Macaca fascicularis: one gene and its partner. Each later gene encodes a partner of the first gene's protein in a complex. Links are inferred from orthologs where the notes say so. Each region holds a gene or a part of one and is shown in the gene's direction. Other genes may lie near its edges. The genes, in order: GLI1 and SUFU.

Region 1 (3,808 bases):
TCACCTTTGTACTCAACAGACTCAGGAGACCCCTCAGGAACCTTACCTCCTCCTCCACACAGTTTTCTGCCTAAAAGAAGAGGGCAGATCGCTTGTGCTGCCTCCTGGCCCCACCTGCCTCTCTGTCGGGACTGTGGCTAGGGCTCCCTCTGCTGGACACTGCAGAGATTGTACACGGGCTGTCCCCCAAGAGGGGTATGAGAAGGGGAAACAGGCTCAAGCAGAGCGGCCCAGTGCTTGAAGTCAGATTCATCACACGTATTCTTCCATCCCACCCCTCAAAGCCGGCCCAGGGTTAGAACAAGAAGAATTAGAGGGTCCATGTTACTAAAATAACTTGAAGTTAATATAGGCACAATCCAAAACATGCCCTCTCCACACAGACCACACAGGCAAAGCTCCCACCAGTTCCCAAGAAGATCCCCAGACTACACAGACTATAAGACTCCCTCTGCCTCTCTGGGACATTTCCCCTTACCCCTTGCCTTGCCTGGCTGAGTGACGCTTTTTTTTTTTTTTTTTTTTTTTTTTTTGAGACGGAGTCTCACTCTGTCACCCAGGCTGGAGTGCAGTGGTGCCATCTCAGCTCACTGCAACTTCTGTCTCCCGGTTCAAGCAATTCTCCTGCCTCAGCCTTCCGAGTAGATGGGATTACAGGCACCCACCATCATGTCTGGCTAACTTTTGTATTTTTGTAGAGACGGGGGTTTCACTATGTTGGTCAGGCTGGTCTTGAACTGACCTCAGGTGATTCGCCCACTTCAGTCTCTCAAAATGTTGGGATTACAGGCGTGAGCCACCGTGCCCGGCCCAGTGATGCTCTTTTCAACTCGATTTCCATGGCAGATGTTTTAGAGGGGCTGGGGACACCAGGGATGCTGTGCCCAGGATTCAGTGCCTGAGACTGCTGTCTGACCGTCTCTATTTGCCTCCACCTTCATAACTACCTTCCCTTTCTGCAGTGTCCCCACACCCTCCTCTGAGACGCCATGTTCAACTCGATGACCCCACCACCAGTCAGTAGCTATGGCGAGCCCTGCTGTCTCCGGCCCCTCCCCAGTCAGGGGGCCCCCAGTGTGGGGACAGAAGGTCAGTGTATATACCAATTCCTGGGCCTTGAGGATTTGGCAGATCTCCCACTTGGGCCCATCCCCGCCCCATGCCAGTTTCCTATCTACAAGATTTGAGGCCCCATGTCATATGGACCTGGAATCCTGGGATCAGGTCCTGCCTGGGGTTTTAAGGTGAGGCTTACATGTCCTCCATTCCCATTCCAGCTGTCTCTTTTTTCTAGGACTGTCTGGCCTGCCCTTCTGCCACCAAGCTAACCTCATGTCTGGCCCCCACAGTTATGGGCCAGCCAGAGAGACCAACAGCTGCACCGAGGGTGAGGACTCAGGCAACACCTCTCCCCTTTCTGCCCCTCTCTGACTTGTTCTGAAAGAGAAAGTGGGAGGGCAGGGGATCTCACTTGGAGGAGGAGATGTTTGGAGATGTGAGGTGTCAGAGCACCATCAAGAAATCCCAGATGGGGCTGGGCGTGGTGGCTCACACCTGTAATCCCAACATTTTAGGGGGAGGCTGTGGCAGGAAGATCGCTTGAGGTCAGGAGTTCAAGACTAGCCAGGCCAACATGGTGAAACCCCATCTCTATTAACAATACAAAAATTAGCCGGGCGTGGTGGTGTGCACCTGTAATCCCAGTTACAGGGGAGGCTGAGGCAGGAGAATCACTTGAATCCGGGATGTGGAGGTTGCAGTGAGGCAAGATGGCACCACTGCCCTCCAGCCTGGGTGACAGAGTGTGACTCTCTCTCTCTGTCTCAAAAAAAAAAAAAAAAGTCACAGATAGGATCAGTAGAGCAAAGCAGAATCAAGTCTCATTGGTTTTGCCAAGTCAGGACCTATAGGTTAGGTGTGTGGAGAGACATGCCCCTTTACCATATCCATCTCCCGTGTCTCCTGCCCCAGGCCCACTCTTTTCTTCTCCCCGGAGTGCAGTCAAGTTGACCAAGAAGCGGGCACTGTCCATTTCACCTCTGTCGGACGCCAGCCTGGACCTGCAGACGGTTATCCGCACTTCACCCAGCTCCCTCGTAGCTTTCATCAACTCGCGATGCACATCTCCAGGAGGCTCTTATGGCCATCTCTCCATCAGCACCATGAGGTGCAGTCAGCTCCGGGCCAAGAGGCCCCTAAAGCCCCTACCCAAGTCCATTAAAAGTATCAAGCCCTCAAACCACCTGACCCTATTTGAATCAAGGGCAACTCTCCTCAGTACTTCCCTGGGACTGCCTCAACCACTTCAAATCCCAAGTCTTCCAGAAATCCTCCAAATAGCCCAATCCCTCCTGAGACTTCCAGATTGTCTTAAGTAACTTCCTTCTCTCCTCCTCAGCCCATCTCTGGGATTCCCAGCCCAGATGAATCACCAAAAAGGGCCCTCGCCTTCCTTTGGAGTCCAGCCTTGTGGTCCCCATGACTCTGCCCGGGGTGGGATGATCCCACACCCTCAGTCCCGGGGACCCCTCCCAACTTGCCAGGTGAGAGTCCCCATATTGCTACCTGATTTCCCTTAGCTCAGGGTGGGTGGGTGGTGGATTTTGTAGGGGAAAGGTGAAGAAGGACAAGGGTTATAAGTTTTCAGTACTAGAAAAGTAAAGAGGTGTGGGTGCTGGGGTTCACTCCTTGCAGTTGAGTCAGACACTTCCAAATGGGATCTTTTGCCCATCCCATTCACCAGTGTAGTCTGAGGAGGAAGTCCCTTCCAAACCCAGGAGGTTCCAGCTGCTTGGGTGGGGGCACTTAGGGCAGGAAGACCTGGCTTGGTTTCCTCTTCCTTCTGCTGAGTTCCACCCTCATCACTGTCACCTCTTCCCCTGGGGAAGCTGAAGTCTGAGCTGGACATGCTGGTTGGCAAGTGCCGGGAGGAGCCCTTGGAAGGTGATATGTCCAGCCCCAACTCCACAGGCATACAGGTAAGGGGATGGGCGGGAGCTTTACCTCTAGGACCTGAGCAAAACTAAAGCTGTCACCCAAGTGACCCTAAGATTGCCTCTCTTGCCCTAGGATTCCCTGTTGGGAATGCTGGATGGGCGAGAGGACCTTGAGAGAGAGGAGAAGCGTGAGCCTGAATCTGTGTATGAGACTGACTGCCGCTGGGATGGCTGCAGCCAGGAATTTGACTCCCAAGAGCAGCTGGTGCACGTGAGCCCCAGGGGGTAACAGGAATGGCTAACCGAAAACTTTAGGAGATTCTGAGTGGGACATGGTAGAATCTGGCTGAGGGCAGGAGGTCAGAGGAGACTGAGGTTGAATGCTCAGTTGGGTAGGCAGAAGCTCAGAAGTTGTAACTTTGCCTTAGGGAGCTGGAAGACCTGAGATGTGAGATATGATATTGTTCCTGCCTCTTCCTCCTTGAGCTGCAGTCGTGGAAGAGGAACAGGGAGTGGAGGGAAGGTCTGTTCTGGACCTTGGGGGGCATGGCGGAGCCTCGGAGAGCCTTTGTATCTTCTCCCTCAGCATATCAACAGCGAGCACATCCACGGGGAGCGGAAGGAGTTCGTGTGCCACTGGGGGGGCTGCTCCAGGGAGCTGAGGCCCTTCAAAGCCCAGTACATGCTGGTGGTGCACATGCGCAGACACACTGGCGAGAAGCCACACAAGTGCACGGTGAGGCACCAGGGTCCCAAGTCCAGGGTCTCTTCCTAAATCGGGGCTCTCCTTCAAGGTAGGGCCCAACGCAGATTTTTGCTTTTGTAAGTCCTTTCTTCCATAAACAAATATTAAAAATAATGTTTGTGTGACT
Region 2 (3,808 bases), on another chromosome or scaffold:
GGCTAATGCTTGTAATGCCAGCAATTTGGGAGGCCGAGGCGGGCGGATCATGAGGTCAGATCGAGACCGTCCTGGCTAACACGGTGAAACCCCATCTTTACTAAAAATACAAAAAATTAGCCTGGTGTGGTGGTGCTTGCCAGTAATCCCAGCTACTTGGGAGGCTGAGGCAGGAGAATCGCTTGAACTCGGGAGGCGGAGGTTGCAGTGAGCTGAGATCATGCCACTGTACTCCAGCCTGGCAACAGAGCGAGATGCCGTCTCAAAAAAAAAAAGAAAAGTGATCTCGTGCTCACTTCAGCAGCACATATACTAAAATTGGAACGATACAGAGGGGATTAGCATGACCCCTGCGCAAGGATGACATGCAAATTTGTGAAGTGTTCTGTATTAAAAAAAAAAAAGAAGTGTTCTCTAAGATATATAATTAAGTGAAATCTGCAGAATAGTGTGCTTCCATTTGTGTACGAACAAAACATGCAAGGGAGCCTGTGGATGCATAGGCTGGTCATACATGGCACCTTGGCACCCATGATGAGAGTCAGAGCTAGTGAGAGACTTAGTACCCTGTGGGGTTGTTTTCCCTTGTGGTTATGTGGCCTTAAACAAAACTCTTTCTAAAGTAATGTGCCTGCTTGAAGTGCAATGGTGAGCCTGTGTGTGAGGAGGCTGTGCCCTTGGCAGCAACAGCTACCCTTCGCAGAATCTGAACATCTCAGAGACATAGCCTGAGGATCCTCATGAGTTGTCTCTGCCACAGTGCGGGAGGCACTATCTAGACCTCCATTTACTTGAAGCCTAGTGTTCCTCAGGAATTCCTGCATCTACCTGTGGAAACTGGTGATAGATCTCAAAGGCCCTCCAAGGTTGGATGTTTCCTTCTGAGCGCCGTTTCAGCAACACAGAAATCTCGTTCTGTTTCTCCAAGGTGAAGGGCTTTCGTTGCCCTGTTGCCTCCCTGTGGACTTCTGGCCAGGTGGCCCCACAAAAAAGCACCTTATTCTTTCTTGGCAGATCCAATCATGGCTCCTGCCTCCCACCATGAGTCGGGATATTGGGGAAATGAAGCAGATGCCAGAAGTCTTTCGGGTTTCCCAGGCCAAAGGAGCTTTCACACTAATAACCTGTCCTTTTCATTTAAGTCTGACAGAATTGGCAAGCAGGAACAATTTAGGTTTTTGGAAATATCCACAAGCTCTTTGCTTCCATCCGGAGTGAATGCTTCTCTTCCTTCACAGGGGCTACCCTAAGAGGCTGGGAAGCCTCCCAGCCTGTGCTAGTGAGATCCCAGCCCAGATTCCAGGTCTGGATCTGAGGCCTTGAACACTGAGGATCCTTGTGTCTCTCCCACAGAGAACACCTTCTGCAGCGGGGACCATGTGTCCTGGCACAGCCCTTTGGATAACAGTGAGTCAAGAATTCAGCACATGCTGCTGACAGAGGACCCACAGATGCAGCCCGTGCAGACACCCTTTGGGGTAGTTACCTTCCTCCAGGTGAGGCACAGGTTGAATGCTGGTTCAAGCCTTCCTGTAGGAAGAGTCCTGGGAGGATAGGGAGGCTTGAGGAAGGGGAGTGAAGGGAGTGGGAGGTTTCCTTTGGCCTCCTCCTGATTTCTGTTTCCTCTGATGGTTTGTCAGGTAGATTCAGATGGTCTGATTTAACCTGCTGAGATGGGAGAAGGGGGAAGGGGAAGGGGCCATTTGGGTGGGAGAGAATGGCTGTAGCTGAGAGGGAGGAGTGGGGGTGGCAGGTATTCTGTGAACAGTGAACAGGACTTTCTAGCAGGAAGCCAGCTCTGGGTCATCCTTGCTGTTTCCCAGAAGCTGTGGTAACCTGCCCAGCTTTGACCAGTGTTTGTTTTTGGTCACGATGAAGTCTATGTGAAGGTTCCACTGATTCCTTTGATATTTACACAAAAGCCTATCCCCTAATAAGGAAGGGAGGAGTTTCTCTGCAAGCTGCTAGGACCTATTGGTGGTGGTTCCAAGCCTGATAGGTCTCAAAGTCTCTTGTTTACATTCCCCATGATACCAGACTGGGTAGGAATGGCTCCCTGAACCTCCCCAACTTCCAGAGACATAGCCTGAGGACACATCTTGAGTTGCTCAGGCCTTGGTTTTCTCCTTTGCAGCCAAGAGCTAGACTTGGTGTCATCCAGACACAGCAAGGGCAAGGGTCAGGCCTCAGGGCCCACCAGTGGACCCAGCCATTTACCAGCCAGGCAGCCACTCACTCCTAAGGGAACCATCCCATCTTGGCTGTACCAGCTCCTAAGCACAGATCCTGCCTGTGGTCTCCCAACTGGAGGTGACTCAGAGAGCCTGAGTAACTGACCTTCTTGGGGTGGGGAGCTGCCATTAACACACAGTGGCTTTCTATCCTGGGCCTCAGATTGTTGGCGTCTGCACTGAAGAGCTACACTCAGCCCAGCAGTGGAACGGGCAGGGCATCCTGGAGCTGCTGCGGACAGTACCTATGTGAGTACCCATGCAAGGTGGGAGCCTGGCTCCCTGGGCCTGGGGATGGGAGTCCCTCCACCACCCTCCATGTGGGGCTCCCTCTTGCATTGTTATTTCAGGCCCTGGTTTTTCACATCAGGGCTTCCTGACAACTCACTCCCTGACAGTCCCTTACCACAAACTATTCCCCTGTGTCCTAGGCCTGGGGCAGCAAACAGGGCAGGCTGTAGGCCCAGCCCATCAGCCCCAGATCCTCAGTTACCATCCCCTTTCCTTGTCCACAGTGCTGGCGGCCCCTGGCTGATAACTGACATGCGGAGAGGAGAGACCATATTTGAGATTGATCCACACCTGCAAGTATGTCTTGAGTGAGGAAAACCTTTCTAGTAACCTGTGCCTAGGCCTCTTCCAAATAACACTGGCTTTCATCCTGGGAAAATGGAGGAGCTTTATGTGTGAGTGAGTAGAAATTTGGCATCATTTGGAACTTGTCCCCTGAATTCTGCGGAGCACATAGGGAACAGAGATTTCAGCCCAGGAAAGCTAGTCCTCAGACATACGTATTTTGGCATTTTAAAAGGATATTTTTATTGTATGTAAATTACATATTGGCTTAAAAAATTAGATCGCCAGCAATAAAAGATAAGTGTAGTGGATATTGCTTGTTTGCCCAGTATTCATTCTCTTGCCTCCCAGACTTTCTTTTAGGGAGCCACCATGGCCACCACAGCCCTGTACCAGACAGTGGTGTAGGTGATAATGACTCCATGGCCCAGCTTCAGGAGTGAGTGCTGATTGGTCTAATGGTCCCATCCCCGTTTTCGCCACATTTTCTATCTTGGACAGTCAGACGCAGAGCTCCTAGCCTGGAAAGGTTGGCACCTTAGACATACAGGCTGGCAGCTGCCCACTCCCTGTGGCCCACCTGGACAGTGTTTCAGTGTCATCTTTGCTGTTTTAGAAGCATTCCTTTGGCATGCAGGTAAATCTAGAAAGCCACAAGAACGTAACTGCCTTTTTTTTTTTTTTTTTTGGTGGGGGCGGAGTTTCACTCATGTCACCCAGCCTGGAGTGCAATGGCGCAATCTCAGCTTACTGCAACCTCTGCCTCCTGGGTTCAAGCAATTCTCCTGCCTCAGCCTCCCGAGTAGCTGAGATTACAGGCGCCCGCCACCACGCCCAGCTAATTTTTGTATTTTTAATGGAGACAGCGTTTCACCATGTTGGTCAGGCTGGTTTCGAACTCCTGGCCTCAGATGATCTGCCTGCCTCGGCCTCCCAAAGTGCTAGGATTACAGGTGTGAGCCACCACGCCCGGCCTATAACTGCCTTTCTTATGGGCTTCT

The links.
Region 2: the proteins of GLI1 (region 1) and SUFU are in contact, whole or in part, in a crystal structure (PDB 4KMD), measured with the Homo sapiens proteins. The link is inferred for Macaca fascicularis from reciprocal best matches to the Homo sapiens genes GLI1 and SUFU. Residues at the interface, in NP_005260.1 of Homo sapiens: Gly119, Ser120, Tyr121, Gly122, His123, Leu124, Ser125, Ile126, Gly127; in NP_057253.2 of Homo sapiens: Leu144, Tyr147, Asn153, Thr154, Phe155, Gly158, Asp159, His160, Val161, Ser162, Trp163, His164, Gln212, Asn265, Leu266, Ser267, Gly268, Val269, Ser270, Ala271, Glu376, Leu380, Lys398.

Annotation. Positions count from the first base shown.
Region 1 is NC_088385.1:64,273,050-64,276,857, forward strand, and holds part of GLI1 (zinc finger protein GLI1), read left to right. Parts: intron 1-46; exon of another isoform or gene 47-133; intron 134-962; 5' UTR 963-989; coding exon 990-1,089; intron 1,090-1,294; coding exon 1,295-1,387; intron 1,388-1,971; coding exon 1,972-2,167; intron 2,168-2,398; coding exon 2,399-2,543; intron 2,544-2,888; coding exon 2,889-2,978; intron 2,979-3,069; coding exon 3,070-3,207; intron 3,208-3,522; coding exon 3,523-3,672; intron 3,673-3,808. UniProt on the Homo sapiens protein: Acts as a transcriptional activator. Binds to the DNA consensus sequence 5'-GACCACCCA-3'. Regulates the transcription of specific genes during normal development.
Region 2 is NC_088383.1:111,604,032-111,607,839, forward strand, and holds part of SUFU (suppressor of fused homolog), read left to right. Parts: intron 1-288; exon of another isoform or gene 289-395; intron 396-1,353; coding exon 1,354-1,496; intron 1,497-2,394; coding exon 2,395-2,480; intron 2,481-2,746; coding exon 2,747-2,819; intron 2,820-3,808. UniProt on the Homo sapiens protein: Negative regulator in the hedgehog/smoothened signaling pathway. Down-regulates GLI1-mediated transactivation of target genes. Down-regulates GLI2-mediated transactivation of target genes. Part of a corepressor complex that acts on DNA-bound GLI1.